2 linked regions of the Saccharomyces cerevisiae S288C genome follow. The protein of the gene in region 2 binds, or shares a complex with, the protein of the main gene of each other region. Each region holds a gene or a part of one and is shown on either strand. Other genes may lie near its edges. A codon is read from its position in the direction of its gene.

The links. The genes of interacting proteins can lie anywhere in the genome.
Region 1: the proteins of RTT107 (region 2) and SLX4 are in contact, whole or in part, in a crystal structure (PDB 6J0Y), measured with the Saccharomyces cerevisiae proteins. Residues at the interface, in NP_012024.1 of Saccharomyces cerevisiae: Thr105 (codon at 5,488), Lys106 (codon at 5,485), Arg107 (codon at 5,482), His108 (codon at 5,479), Leu109 (codon at 5,476), Arg110 (codon at 5,473), Gln126 (codon at 5,425), Tyr128 (codon at 5,419), Lys131 (codon at 5,410), Ser132 (codon at 5,407), Ser133 (codon at 5,404), Phe134 (codon at 5,401), Asn135 (codon at 5,398), Asn155 (codon at 5,338), Tyr156 (codon at 5,335), Ile157 (codon at 5,332), Ser158 (codon at 5,329), Arg160 (codon at 5,323), Pro172 (codon at 5,287), Ile173 (codon at 5,284), Ala175 (codon at 5,278), Thr176 (codon at 5,275), Val177 (codon at 5,272), Lys179 (codon at 5,266), Leu180 (codon at 5,263), Thr181 (codon at 5,260), Phe182 (codon at 5,257), Gly183 (codon at 5,254), Leu198 (codon at 5,209), Arg392 (codon at 4,627); in NP_013236.1 of Saccharomyces cerevisiae: Ile538 (codon at 4,471), Arg539 (codon at 4,474), Val540 (codon at 4,477), Lys541 (codon at 4,480), Leu542 (codon at 4,483), Ser546 (codon at 4,495), Lys549 (codon at 4,504), Leu550 (codon at 4,507), Asn551 (codon at 4,510), Leu554 (codon at 4,519), Tyr560 (codon at 4,537), Arg561 (codon at 4,540), Val562 (codon at 4,543), Glu563 (codon at 4,546), Ala564 (codon at 4,549), Asn565 (codon at 4,552), Asp566 (codon at 4,555), Ser567 (codon at 4,558), Glu568 (codon at 4,561), Glu569 (codon at 4,564), Glu570 (codon at 4,567), Glu571 (codon at 4,570), Thr572 (codon at 4,573), Phe574 (codon at 4,579), Ile580 (codon at 4,597), Ile583 (codon at 4,606), Gln584 (codon at 4,609), Leu585 (codon at 4,612), Val586 (codon at 4,615).

Annotation. Positions count from the first base shown.
Region 1 is NC_001144.5:410,422-417,877, forward strand, and holds SLX4 (Slx4p), read left to right. Parts: upstream 1-2,859; coding exon 2,860-5,106; downstream 5,107-7,456. Other genes in the region: PDC5 (indolepyruvate decarboxylase 5), read left to right, coding at 302-1,993; TIS11 (Tis11p), read right to left, coding at 5,380-6,237; RKM5 (S-adenosylmethionine-dependent methyltransferase), read left to right, coding at 6,585-7,456. UniProt on the Saccharomyces cerevisiae protein: Regulatory subunit that interacts with and increases the activity of different structure-specific endonucleases. Has several distinct roles in protecting genome stability by resolving diverse forms of deleterious DNA structures.
Region 2 is NC_001140.6:401,092-408,765, reverse strand, and holds RTT107 (Rtt107p), read right to left. Parts: upstream 5,801-7,674; coding exon 2,588-5,800; downstream 1-2,587. Other genes in the region: LAM1 (Lam1p), read right to left, coding at 1-1,663; SPO16 (Spo16p), read left to right, coding at 6,084-6,680; SPO12 (Spo12p), read right to left, coding at 6,811-7,332. UniProt on the Saccharomyces cerevisiae protein: Required for resumption of chromosome replication after DNA damage, specifically in S phase. Is recruited to chromatin in the presence of RTT109 and RTT101 in response to stalled replication forks and acts as a scaffold during DNA repair.

The DNA of each region.
Region 1 (7,456 bases), on a different chromosome or scaffold from region 2:
CCAAAGGTCGCGTTTCTTTTAGAAAAACTAATACGTAAACCTGCATTAAGGTAAGATTATATCAGAAAATGTGTTGCAAGAAATGCATTATGCAATTTTTTGATTATGACAATCTCTCGAAAGAAATTTCATATGATGAGACTTGAATAATGCAGCGGCGCTTGCTAAAAGAACTTGTATATAAGAGCTGCCATTCTCGATCAATATACTGTAGTAAGTCCTTTCCTCTCTTTCTTATTACACTTATTTCACATAATCAATCTCAAAGAGAACAACACAATACAATAACAAGAAGAACAAAATGTCTGAAATAACCTTAGGTAAATATTTATTTGAAAGATTGAGCCAAGTCAACTGTAACACCGTCTTCGGTTTGCCAGGTGACTTTAACTTGTCTCTTTTGGATAAGCTTTATGAAGTCAAAGGTATGAGATGGGCTGGTAACGCTAACGAATTGAACGCTGCCTATGCTGCTGATGGTTACGCTCGTATCAAGGGTATGTCCTGTATTATTACCACCTTCGGTGTTGGTGAATTGTCTGCTTTGAATGGTATTGCCGGTTCTTACGCTGAACATGTCGGTGTTTTGCACGTTGTTGGTGTTCCATCCATCTCTTCTCAAGCTAAGCAATTGTTGTTGCATCATACCTTGGGTAACGGTGACTTCACTGTTTTCCACAGAATGTCTGCCAACATTTCTGAAACCACTGCCATGATCACTGATATTGCTAACGCTCCAGCTGAAATTGACAGATGTATCAGAACCACCTACACTACCCAAAGACCAGTCTACTTGGGTTTGCCAGCTAACTTGGTTGACTTGAACGTCCCAGCCAAGTTATTGGAAACTCCAATTGACTTGTCTTTGAAGCCAAACGACGCTGAAGCTGAAGCTGAAGTTGTTAGAACTGTTGTTGAATTGATCAAGGATGCTAAGAACCCAGTTATCTTGGCTGATGCTTGTGCTTCTAGACATGATGTCAAGGCTGAAACTAAGAAGTTGATGGACTTGACTCAATTCCCAGTTTACGTCACCCCAATGGGTAAGGGTGCTATTGACGAACAACACCCAAGATACGGTGGTGTTTACGTTGGTACCTTGTCTAGACCAGAAGTTAAGAAGGCTGTAGAATCTGCTGATTTGATATTGTCTATCGGTGCTTTGTTGTCTGATTTCAATACCGGTTCTTTCTCTTACTCCTACAAGACCAAAAATATCGTTGAATTCCACTCTGACCACATCAAGATCAGAAACGCCACCTTCCCAGGTGTTCAAATGAAATTTGCCTTGCAAAAATTGTTGGATGCTATTCCAGAAGTCGTCAAGGACTACAAACCTGTTGCTGTCCCAGCTAGAGTTCCAATTACCAAGTCTACTCCAGCTAACACTCCAATGAAGCAAGAATGGATGTGGAACCATTTGGGTAACTTCTTGAGAGAAGGTGATATTGTTATTGCTGAAACCGGTACTTCCGCCTTCGGTATTAACCAAACTACTTTCCCAACAGATGTATACGCTATCGTCCAAGTCTTGTGGGGTTCCATTGGTTTCACAGTCGGCGCTCTATTGGGTGCTACTATGGCCGCTGAAGAACTTGATCCAAAGAAGAGAGTTATTTTATTCATTGGTGACGGTTCTCTACAATTGACTGTTCAAGAAATCTCTACCATGATTAGATGGGGTTTGAAGCCATACATTTTTGTCTTGAATAACAACGGTTACACCATTGAAAAATTGATTCACGGTCCTCATGCCGAATATAATGAAATTCAAGGTTGGGACCACTTGGCCTTATTGCCAACTTTTGGTGCTAGAAACTACGAAACCCACAGAGTTGCTACCACTGGTGAATGGGAAAAGTTGACTCAAGACAAGGACTTCCAAGACAACTCTAAGATTAGAATGATTGAAGTTATGTTGCCAGTCTTTGATGCTCCACAAAACTTGGTTAAACAAGCTCAATTGACTGCCGCTACTAACGCTAAACAATAAGCTAATTAACATAAAACTCATGATTCAACGTTTGTGTATTTTTTTACTTTTGAAGGTTATAGATGTTTAGGTAAATAATTGGCATAGATATAGTTTTAGTATAATAAATTTCTGATTTGGTTTAAAATATCAACTATTTTTTTTCACATATGTTCTTGTAATTACTTTTCTGTCCTGTCTTCCAGGTTAAAGATTAGCTTCTAATATTTTAGGTGGTTTATTATTTAATTTTATGCTGATTAATTTATTTACTTTCGTATTCGGTTTTGTACCTTTAGCTATGATCTTAGCTAATTGAAGAGGGTGGTGTGATCTTTAACCATACCTTATTATCTTTCAGCTGCTTACCATTTTCTTATATTGATTTTTAGCGAAAGATTTTTATTCACAAGCTTTTTTTATCCTTAATGCTCGAATACTACAACAAAACAAAAAACATTAAACAGTTTTTAATTTTGTGAACAAACTGAATTACAAGGCCTTACATCTTATTTAGAATATATTAAGAAACAGAGGCCAACATGCCTTCTTAATTATATTGATATGGACCTCTGTCCTTCCTAAAAACGGGTTTTTGTTCGATGAAAAATCACCAGTAGAGCACCATATATGAATTTACAATCATTGTAGGGAAAAGAAAACTTGTTCTGCTTCGCCAATTGATTTCATTTCTTTTTTTCCTTTGTTTTTGTTGTATACTATTAATATGCGTAGTTCTTTGTCACTTAGTGGTTTTTTGTTTAATTTATAACGCGAAAGCTGCATACTAAAAATATAGAGATGAATGGAACTCCGAACAAGCAAGAGAGATATTATCTATCTCTGTTCCATAATAATAACCAGTAGTTCAGTTGGGGAACTTAATAATGGAACTTCAGAGGGCACAACGGAATTTGAAGTTTTTACAAAACGAGGATTATGTGAACGTTACCGATCAAACTAACCTGAATGGAGAGAGCCAGAATGCTTACTCTTTAGGAATGGAAACTCAAGTACCGGAAATGCAGTTTTCCTTATCATCTGATGATGATTCAATAGGTACGCAAGTAAAAAGCGTAACTGCACAAAAATCGCCTATGACGCAAGAGACTACGAAAAACGATACAGAAAGAAATAAAGATGTTGATAAAAGTTGTAACCCAGTCAGCACTTCCCATCCCGATTTAGGCGGATCAAATATCGAGGAGAACATATTCATTAACACTCAAATTCAAAGCCGACTTGATGACGCAGAGGAAGAAACAAATCTTAAGTTAAAACTTGAAAAATTCAAGTATTCGTTCAAGAGTAGTAACGCAGATGATACCCACAGCAATGCAAATGTAACAGCTAAAAGAAGACCAGCAATAAGGAAGGCTAATTCGAAACTCAAAACAAAACCTAAAACTAAACGAGACCCTAAAATTATCAAAAATATAACTGATTTCAATATTAATAACTACGAACGTTCAAGGACTGCCAGCTTATTAAAGCAATTATCAGGTAAGCACAAGAAGGTTTTGGACATAATAAAGACGCAAAATGAAGGAAACAGTGATAAACCTCCCAGAGCAAGGAATAACAAGGGTGAAAAAGCTACTTTTGATACATATAGTGAACAGGAGTGGAAAGATATTATGAAACTTCTTCTACAAAAGTTTCCGCAAAGTGAGGAAACGGATTTGAATGAAGTCCAGAAATTTTTATATGGAAGCGAAAAAAGCTCGAATTCTCTAGACAATCAAGAATCCTCACAACAAAGACTTTGGACAGCATCACAATTACCACCCGAGCTTCCCGATGAGGCTATTCAACCAGAGCAGGAAGAAAGGATACGCGATACCCAAAGTGCAGTAAATTTCTTATCGTTGTCTCAAGTAATGGATGACAAAAGTGAAATTATGAAAGACGAAGAAAGCATAATTATTTCACGGGGAGATTCTACAAGCTCTCAAGAATATGGAAACGGGTTAGAGCCACAACAACCGGTAGGAAATGTTGTTGGTGAAGATATTGAACTGGCTGTGGGAACACGTATAAATGCATTTTCACTGACAGATTATAAAGCTTGCAAACCTATGTCTGTTGAGGTAAGTAGAAGATGCGAAAACAGTACGGATAATGATTATGACAATATTTCTATTGTCTCAGATACTACAGATGAGACATCCACATTGTTTCCACTAGACCAGTATCGGTATGTTTTCATTGAAAATGATGAAAGACCACCATTAGCCACCGACACGATAGGCAGCACACAGTTTTTCACTCCAAACACATCGCCTTTGGATGGGATAATCGATTTAACACAGGAATCATTCAAAGCTGTTCGATCGTTAATATCACCTTTGAAAGTAGAAAACAACAAAACAGGGGTAACATCACAAGCATCAAATCAGGTTCAGGTACCAGCTACAAGAACCCCTACAATTATTCCTCAAAAGAACCTTACTACAACTTTAAAAACTGAAGAAGAAAAGAATAACATAGGAAGTTCCATCAGAGTTAAATTATTGCAAGAAAGCGTAGTTAAGCTAAACCCCAAACTGGTGAAACATAACTTTTATAGAGTTGAGGCAAATGATTCTGAAGAAGAGGAGACAGAATTTGATGACCAATTCTGCATTGCTGATATCCAATTGGTAGATTCCTCCAAAATTTCGACTAAAGATTCTACACAAAATCCTACTACTAGCAACGACATTATTGATACCTCTGCAGCTAGTTCCATAGCTTCTCCCGAGAAATTTTGTGAGATCATGATGTCCCAATCAATGAAAGAGCTTCGACAAAGCTTGAAAACAGTGGGGTTGAAACCTATGAGGACGAAGGTTGAAATCATTCAATCCTTACAAACTGCATCTCAAATTCTGTCCACAGCTAATCCAGATAATAAAGGTGAGCATGGTGGGGTGGCAAATTTCAGTAAGATAGAAATATTTGATCATTTAACCGAACTAATTGAAGCCTTCCCTGATTTTTTGGAGCGAATATATACCTTTGAACCCATTCCGCTAAATGAGCTAATTGAAAAGCTGTTCAGCGCCGAGCCATTTGTTTCGCAAATCGACGAAATGACCATCAGAGAATGGGCCGATGTTCAAGGAATATGTCTGAGAAACGATAAAAAGTAGTGCCGAATGATTGAGAATTTGACAAAACAAAAACAAAACAAAACAAACGTTACGTATAGATGAAGAATACACGTACACAAATATGCATATATACCGTCATGAAGTAGCTTAACTTAAATAAAAGTTTTTTTTTTTTAGAGTTACCAATATCGCAAACATGAAAATGAGAATAAAAAAAAAAAAGCAGAAAAAAAAAAAGCATAACATGGAGAAAAAAATAATAAATAATTGAGTTTAGTTGAGACGCCGGTCTTCGCCAGGCCAGGAATTGTTTCACCAGGTCATTCTCTGCAAAGCCTTTACTTTAACATTTAGATTCTTCTTCTTGGCGGAGCCGCGACCATTGCTTCTCTTTTCGTCTGATTGTTTGCTAGTCGAAGAGACGTTACAGTAAGTACCAGCTTTCACGTAAACAGCAATGTCGTTGTCGTCGCCATGTTTGAAGCAGCATCTTCTGCCATAAGGACAATAACCTAGTTTCTCCCAATTCACACAGGGCTTCGTCCTGAAATTCTTGCACGATTTCTTAACCTTTAATTCGCCGAGTCCGTGAGCAAACTGACACTTACTGCCATAAGGGCAACTTCCTTTTAAAGTGAATGATTCGCACAGCTCTGTCTTGTATAATTGTTTGGGAGTTTCCTGCACTTGGCTTTTCACCTTAGGTTGAGCTGAGGATTCCTTCTCTGATGAAAAAGAAGCATCATTTTTGGGCTTTTGTTGAGACAACTGTTGCAAATTCTGTGAAGTTAATGGTAATTGTGAAGATTTTGGGACATAGTCCGGATTTATTTGTACCTCTAGTTTCTTTTTAAAAGTAGTAGGTGCCGTGCTATTCAGGTGAGCGGATGGGAGAAAAGGGTTCATTAACTGTGGATCATACAGTAGCCCCGGTTGAATAGCGTTTGTATTTTTTGGTGGAGAGAATGAAACTGCCGAAGATATTTCACTGCTTGTTTCCTGTATGTTATCCTCGTTTAAAATCGTCTTGTTGTAATACTCCTCCAGTTCCCTAATATTGATCTGGTACTGGTAGTCATTTAATGGATTTTGCTCTTGATCTGTGGAAAACAACGACGTTAAGTCAGTCTTCTGAGATTCTGGTCTAGTATATGATAATTGAGCCCACATATTGCGTTATTTTTTACGTATTGAGTTTGCAGCACTGTTTCGCTTTCTCTCAAGATGCACAAATACGACCTACCAAGAGCCTCCAAGTCCCACCAACGATTATGTCTTCTCTCAAATATATATACAAGTTACATGTAGAGAAATCGAGACGAGATTGCTGGCACAATGCACCCAACTGCATGTGCCATTGTGCATCTACACCTCCAAATTAGGGTGTCGATTGGCGTCGTCTTCTTTAATGTGGGTGCATTTTGCGGCGGCGCGACAAATATAGAGAACTGACCAAGGCAGTGCTGTCAAGAAGAGAGAATGGTTACGGCAGCGAAGACGCAAATGGGCTAGGCAGAATGGCATTCAAGTTATGGCTACTGGATGAGGAAACAATATACGAGCACGTGTTCGAACGGTACACACAATTGGAGGGCCAGTCCGGGAAACTGGCGCAGGATTTGGGTATTCAGGATAGAAGGGGCGGTGTGCTAGAGATAACGTTTGAACCCTCTGGGCTGGAAGGCGGCAGAAAAAAAAAGCGAGTGAGAAGAAGAAATAAGGCTAGTAGTGTTGAAGAAGATCAGAATGTTGCTGTGGATAGCTATCATGTTAGCGTGGGGCAGTCCATATCAAGCTTGCGCTCGTCCAGAGACAACGGAAACTCCACCACAGGATACGTTTTGTGGTCTACCACACCTTTCTTCATCAACTGGCTGCTGTATAGTACTAGCGCTGCACCTTTCCGTCTTGGGAGTCAGGTGGAAGTAACCTGCGGGTCTTCTTGCGAGGGGCACAAGCTTGAGTTGCCCAGGCTGGTCGACCTCACGGGCGCTGATCGCGGCAAGAGAGGTATCTTGGAACTTGGAGCAGGAATATCAGGTATTTTGCCCGTGATTCTTGGTAACTTCGTCGACACCTACGTGTCGACAGATCAGAAGGGCATTCTTAATAAATTAAAAGATAACATCATGGAAAACTTATCACAGTTGACCAGAAAGCGGTGCATTTCCCGATCACTAAGATTGGAACTTCCCACCGTCGAACCAGTTGGCGACGCTGATATCACCGCAGCGTCACTTCCATCTAAGTCTACGTTGCATTTGGAAGTAGCCGCTCTAGACTGGGAGAAGATAAACTTGCAAGACAAAAAGACCCACTCTCTGCATCCTGAGTTGTCACTCATAGGTGAAACATGTTCTTCCGTGTACGTTATAGCTATGGATGTCAT
Region 2 (7,674 bases):
CTGGCTTGTGTACTGAACTTCCTTTGAGTGGATTGACTAAATAGGACAAATCATTCCAATTTGCCGTACCCCAGGTGTTTGCCTGGGTAGCACACGGATAATAATTTGATACAGATAGAAATGTAGAGAATAAAGCCAAATGAGTCAACTGCGTGGCTATCGGTGTAGAAATTACTCTCAGATGGTATGCCTTATTATCAATGATAGAGTATATATCATCCTCTGACATATAATTTTTTTTTAGCTCTTCTACCAATGTCAAAGTTTTACTGGAAAATGAAGTTAATAATTTATCTGTTGACGTTGAGCTACTTGAAGCAAACTCGAAAAATTGAGGTTCAATTTTTTTTCTCGCCAATTGATAACGAGGATCGTTTTCCTCCTTTATCGACAATGCGATTCTTTTGTGAGAAGTTAAGGTGTTTATCCACGATTTTAACTCGTCAATACTTTCAGCTTGCAGGATGATATCTATGTATGTATTTTCTTCTTCTGTTTTGCAATTTGGATTTTGAATCCTCAATTTGAAACAAAAATTTCTAGGTTCTTTGGGCAGATATTCTACAGTTATCCATAATATACCGAATTTATCGGTTTCTTCGACATAAGTTTTGCTAGGCGACAGTGAAAAAACTCCAAAAACATTGTTCTGTAGAAAGCACCATCTTCTTACCCACACAACTCTTTTCGGATCATGACCAACTGTAGTTTTCATGTACAACCAACCCGATAGCCCTTTTTCCTCAGAATTATTTCCGTTACTTATCGATTTTGGAAGGTTAAACTTCAAATTTTGTATGCTTTTCAAATCATAGTCTTGTATCAGGCGAGATGGCTTCATTCTTGCCAAGCTGAGCTTCAGAATGGCATACTTAGCTTCAGATAGCTTGGATGACAATGCTTGTAAAGTCTGAAGGTTACTTTCTATCCAATCGGTCCAATCCTTTAATGTTTCCGTAAGTTCGGGAGTAATGTCGATAACGTCCTTGGTGTCCTTGGTAGTAATAACGTTATTTTTGCGCACAATGTCTATTGTCTCTATCAGGAATTTATCCAAATTAACTTTCATTAACGAAATAGCCTCAGTCAAATCCAAGGAAGCTTCTATATATTTGTGTTTAATATCGACTAATTTGAATGTTTCATTTTGCAGATTTTGTGGAATTAAAGTATTGCCATCATTAGTGGCCGCTAAAAAGTCAGTTAAAAACGAATCATACTTCCTTTGGTAGTATTCAAAAGTTTTTCTCTTGTTGAAGTAAGGGTTAATAGCATCAGAGCTCAAAGCAGACAATGCCGCAGTGTATTGTGAGTTTTCATCACCTAAAATTATTTTCATAACCGTATTTGAAAGGTCACTGACATCTCTAGTAAAGTCTCTTACAAGCAAGGGAGTATATGGCTGGTTACTGACAAATCCATTGGAGAGTAATATAGGAGAAGGGAGCAGCTGTGAAAATAGTGTTTCCTTTATTCTTTGGAAGTCTTGGAACGAAGGCTTGTACGTATTTTCTACATAATCCACAGTACTGTGCATCCAACTACTCAGAGATTCCATTCTGGTATGGAAATAATTGACAGAAGCTCTAAAAGAGGGGGAATCGGTGGATGCTTCGTTAAGTGCAACGGTTATTAGCCGTAGCTCCGCTTTGTGTTCATGCATTATAAAATTGTTCTACAATGACCAATACCAAAGCTATAGAAGTGAAAAACTTGAAATTGGCAGTACTAAATCGAAGAACAGACCATCAGCTTCTGTCACCCTAGTTTTCACTACAATAAATGAAAGCTTCGCGAATAATACCTACAGCCCTTTCTTATTCACCAAATTTTCAGAGTGTTCTCTTCAAAGTTCGGGTAATAGGTGATTTATCTTCACTCATATTGAGACGATACAATACGCACGAGGATAATAAGCCCAAACTCAAAATTATGCATCATACCGTAATGTTTCCCATTTAACCCAATTTTATCTCTCATCCGCTCCACATATATGTATCTTGGTACTGTTCGCATGTAAACATTATTTAAGATTTCTGACGTAAATCTATGGATGTAACCTGTTTAATTATTAGATCAAAAAGTTCTTACTAACGTTAGTAGTTGGCTTGAGCCATTAAATTTTGCGTCATTAACATTGCGGATACTCTCGTAATAATATACCTAAAATACACTAGGTTTGGAACATTGTTCTTGACGCATTGAGTAGAAGGGCTCTCCGCTGTGTGAATATCTCAGAGTGGAAAATTGTACAATAGAGTTGCTTTACGCATTCTGGCCATGAATCTGTTTTTATCCATGAAATTGTAGAAAAATTAAAAGGTTTGCGGATAAAGTGTGGAATAAATGATTCTACTCACGGTACTATTTGACCCTTTGTATCCTATATTAGAAATGCTTTATTAAACAATCTAATTCAAAGACAGTACCAAATAATTGTTTCTAACTAGACATTTAAAATGGTCTGTTAATCATATGTGGGTTGTTTGTTGAACATAAGATTTTCTACAACGCATCTTTATAATTATTATATATTTATTTGTTATCAGTGTCGTATGTCAGATGACGTAATATATAGTGTCCATTTTTAGTTATTTTTCTTTTGATACAAAACATTTTTCTTTGATGTAAAATCAACATTGAGATGAAAAATTGATTCAACACACCAATTCCATTCAACAATCAAAATTGTTTCGTTTTTATCACGATCATTAATCAGTTTGGTAAATTTTTTAACCTGTGAAGCTTTGGTGACGATAAGTACGTATTTAAAAATGCCTCCGTTTTCCTGCTTAGAAACGTCATTTGGGATTATGTCTTCAAATGTGCATTTCTTACTACGTAAAACGTTGATTTTTTCGATACCATGTGCCTTTAGAACAGAGCCTATTGTATCTACACCACCCGGTATATCATTGACTAAGTTAATGCATCTAATATTCGCTCTTTCGAACACCTTAGTAGGTAGTTTGGTTTTTGATATTATACTCTCATTAATTCCATTTATCTCATAATCAAACAAGTTTATATTTATTTGAGAAAGTTTATCTTTTTTAGAATGAATTTGTTTCAGTAAATCAATAATAAATTCAGGTTTCAATGCGAATTTTAACGGTTCAAAACTTAAGCTTTTTAAAAATTTCTCGGTTCTCAAAATCTTTGGAGCAAAAATACAATTCAATTTATCCGTTTCTTTAATATTGTCAAAAATTTTTATACCTAGTTGGTTCAATATTTCGATGTCAACCTCATTAAATCCATCATGGAAACAACCGGTGCAAACCGCTTTTAGGTCATAATTTGGTAGTTCATTAAATCTAGCTAATATCTTTTCCGCTTTAGTAGCCAGTTCTTTGTTATTATTTGACCTTTCAACATCTTGGGACAATGAAATCTCCTCGCTATCAATTCTCTTCCTTTTAAAGTTTTTCTGAAATTCATTTAATGATTCAATATCTGTATGCAATCTCTTCGCAGCTTGTGTCTTTGCTAACCTTGAATTGCCACTTGATGGCATAAAAACTTGCGTTTGCGCGGTGGTTGGAGTATCAACGCCACTCGTAATATTTTGAGACGTCTTGGGTGTGGTATATTTGGAATTAACTGCCGGTTTTTCGTCATTAATGTGATCATCATTATCAGATAATCCTTCAAACAAATGCGAGAATTTATCTGTATCTTTTTTAGAAGTGACGTCTTCCGTAGAAATCAGTTTTCCTGTACTTTCCTCCCCTTGCTTTTCATTCGTCATTTGATCTACTTCAATGTGACATTCATTGGTTTCTTTCTCCTTTTCATTTTTCTTCGAAGTTTTGATCTCTCGTTTAGTTCGTTGTCCTAGCTGAACTTGCAGCTCCGTTTCTTCCTCTTCTTTTTTATAATCTATGTCATTCTTCTTGCGTGACTGTTCCCTTATTTCTTGTTTCTTAGGTGCATCATACTCCGTAATAGGTTTCGTAAACTCCTTTTCTTCTCTTTTTTCATGTCCTTCACAGAAAACCTCTGTTTCCATACTAATATCTGAGTTTGAGTCTTTCTTTTGTAAATTAGATTTTTTACTGTCAACTACTGGAAAACTTGCCCTTGAAGGTCTGGAAACAAAACTCCGTTCTAAATCTCCAGAATGGGTTACAGCCACCTCTCCTGATATTTTTTGTAATTTGTCAATCTTTTCATCAATTGAGTTCTCAAAACTACTAATGGGCGTACCATCTTTCTTTGATAATACATTGGTGTTATCGTTAATTTGATCCATTTGATCATTTGTGGGAGGCGGCTTCTCTGATATGGATTGCGTGTCGTAAGTCACCATCGATAGGTTTTTTGGAGTTGGGAGAGATGAATGATCCATTCCTATTTGGCCGATATTCCATCCCATGTTATCATCCAATTTAAAATTTTGAAATCTACTGTCTTTGGGGTTTAACTTGGAATTATTCATATAACATTGCTCTAACCACATATGATTTGTCACAATAATGGCATTTTGCGGGTCCAGTGACCATTTTTTTGCGACTTTGAATTTTTTGCCAATTGTACTCTTCGTGATCAAGTGTGTGTTTTTTCTTGTTAGTTCAGGTGTGCTAAGTCCTCCTAATATTTCTACTAACCTCTGAATATAAAACCTTTGGGAGCCGAAATAATTAGTGTACGCGACTGTTAATTCCTTAGAAGTAAATAATTTCGCATGAAATGGTTGGTGAATAAGTTTACATTGCGATACAGGTGTAAATTTTTGCAGCGCAAACATATAAAACAACCAACTTACGTTCCCAACATGAATTTCCGGTTTAATGCTTTTGGTTTTTTCTAGTATCGGTGAGTTAGCAGAGTGGCCGATATAACAGTCAATATCAGGAAAAGCTTGGTAAACAGACTTCAGATCGTCAGAAAAACTCAACGGAGTTACTTTGCCGTCCAAATCCTCGATAAATCCTTTCAAAAACCAATACAAAGGTGTGAAAAAGTTTAAATCTGGTGAGATAGCAAAGTGGTGATTTTTGAATAAAGTTTTGTTTGGATGAAGAGTAAGCTGCGATGATGATGTCTGCTTATCGCCAATAACCTCTTCCCATTTTGCGAATAACTGTTCCTCACTGGTGTCCTGCATATCAAGCTCACACAAAGTAGCAAGCTCGCCCTTCAAGGGCTTCGCCATTTTGAAATGATATAATATCCATATTGGATAGACAAATTTCCACTCTCTCAAAGGCTTTTCGGTGTGCTTGTTGGTCGATGAAGAGGAAAAAGAGCCAAATGTCAATTTACTGACCGTTGCTATGATCGGGTCCTGGGGACTTTGAACAATCACATGCGTCGTTCTATTTGAGATGTAATTGACTAAAGTGCCTCCTAATAAATGAAGCAAATCAGAGTATAATATGTATTCACACTTATTAAACGAGCTTTTGGAAATATATACTTGACAGTCTCGGAGCAAATGAAATGGGTTAGGTGAATACATATTTGTCCTCAAATGTCTCTTCGTCTTGACCGAATCCTGGACCCAAGTGTGTGATACCACCGGGATCAAAAGATCGAAATAAACTATCTTATAAAAAGGAAAGTTGATTGTATTACTAATGACAAAATGTACTGTTTGCGGGCCGAATTTGTTCATGAACCAATCTTTATCCGTCTTGACATCTTTCAAATTTTCGTTATAAAGCTCGTATATTTGACAGTTATTGCATGAATTATCCATCAAAAGCTTTCTAGTAGAGTGAGCGATGGGAAGCTCAGCCTCTGCTGCCACTAAAATTAAAAAATTTAGCTGCTCAAACAGAAGTGATGTGCTCATGGATCGTATATTTACCAGTATGCTACCTCCTTGAAATCTTGCCCAATAACCTAATGACTTCCATTGAATATACAATATAGAACATTGTGATGTATTTATTTATTGGCAAAAAATGTGACGCGAAAAACAACATTAGATGAGTGAAAAAGAAAAGTCACATCTGATATAGCTTACCCTGTTAACGCGTGAAAAGTGGGCGGCTAAAACCGAGAAAATACGAAATAGTGTAAAGGTTCAAGAGAATAAACTTCTGGAACAACATTTCTGGAATGGTTCAATAGAAATGTCTGAATTCTTTTGGGATGTACAAAAAATACAAGAGATTTCTAATGTCGAAGAACATTCTGTGGTTAAGTGTGTTACTGTGAATACGAGCAGGTTAATTTCGCAGCTTAACGAGGAGCTACAAGACGAAGAAAGTGGCGTCAATTTTATTGTTACACAGCTGCAATTACTGATAAATAATGTCTATGAGAAAATACAGAAAAGCCCTGGAGTTCCCGCACATCGTTCTCTGATGATAAATTTGAATTTCACGCGCTTGAAATTCTCAATAGCTTATTGGGATATCTTATTGGAGAGGTCACTAGATCTAATAAATGGACCATCGAAAACGGGTGCCCGCTACTTTATTACAGAGGTTACACCAGTAGACAGAAGTCGATATGTTGAAAACAATCAATATTTTCTAGCTTTTAAAGCTAACCAGCGTTTGACACGGAACAGCGTGGATATGGACGAGTTTATTGATTTTGAAATTCTAATCAAGCAAATAATTTTCGACCTCTTCAAAAAAAACGGAATTCCAGATCAAGATTTTGAAGCCATTTTATCAAGGTTTCATAATTTGGAAAGCTTGGTGGTTGCTTTTAATGAATAATAAAAAAAATGTAAGAAAAAAAAAATCAGGTATTGTTGAATTATTATTTACTTATTCTTTATGTACTCGTTTGCTTATTGGTTTAGTGTAGCATTTGGCTATTTTTGGATGACTAGAAAGGCAGATTTTTTTAGTAGAAATACTCCTCATCTTCATCGATTTCTACATCCTCTGAATCGGCAGCAAGGTTGCCTTTAAAGTTCAGTTTCATAGGATTGACTTTCTTTTTCTTTCCGAACATCTTAACTTTGTGCTCATTCAATTTCAATGAGCATGGTGATACCAGCCTGTCAGTCGGTGATGCAAATCTTTGTTGTAGTTGGAGTTTCCTCTTCGGATCCTGTTTTAAAAGATCCCTTTTGAACATTGTCTTTTTTACCAAATTGCTAGTGGTGTGTGACGACTTCAAGTTTGAAGTGCTTTTTTTCCTAAAAATTCGAAAGGCCGCAATCTCCTCCTCTAAATTAGGTATATTCTCTTTATTGGCGTCCTCTCCTGTCTTCGCCGATTCATTGTAATTATTGATGTTATTGTGGTGATGGTAGTTGTCGTTGTTGCTGCTGCTGCTTCTGGTGATTGTGTTTTCTCTGGTAATATCAGTCTTGAGGATGGAAGCCGTGCGTGCTGATTGGTCACTTGCCTTGTTGGACATAAATACGTTTTCTATTGTTCTTACTGTATATGTTATTTTGTTTTCCTACTAGAAGTATTCCAAGATAGTAACTAATCTGAATGAACGTTTGGCTGACCTCCTAAAAACTAGTTTGAAATGGCGCTTTAGACTTCAAAAGGAGGAATTCTCCTCTTGTGGCAGTATTGTTTCATGCTTTTGCTTACAATTTTCATTAGGAGAAAAAAAGGAAAGATGCCCTGTTTACATATTTCCAAATTAGGAAAAGATATTAACCATGGCGAACTGCATTTCAGACCTGCTTTTTTTTTTCTGTAACCCTTTTAAATTAGGGTTTGCAATTTTGGCATTTTTCTTTTTTCC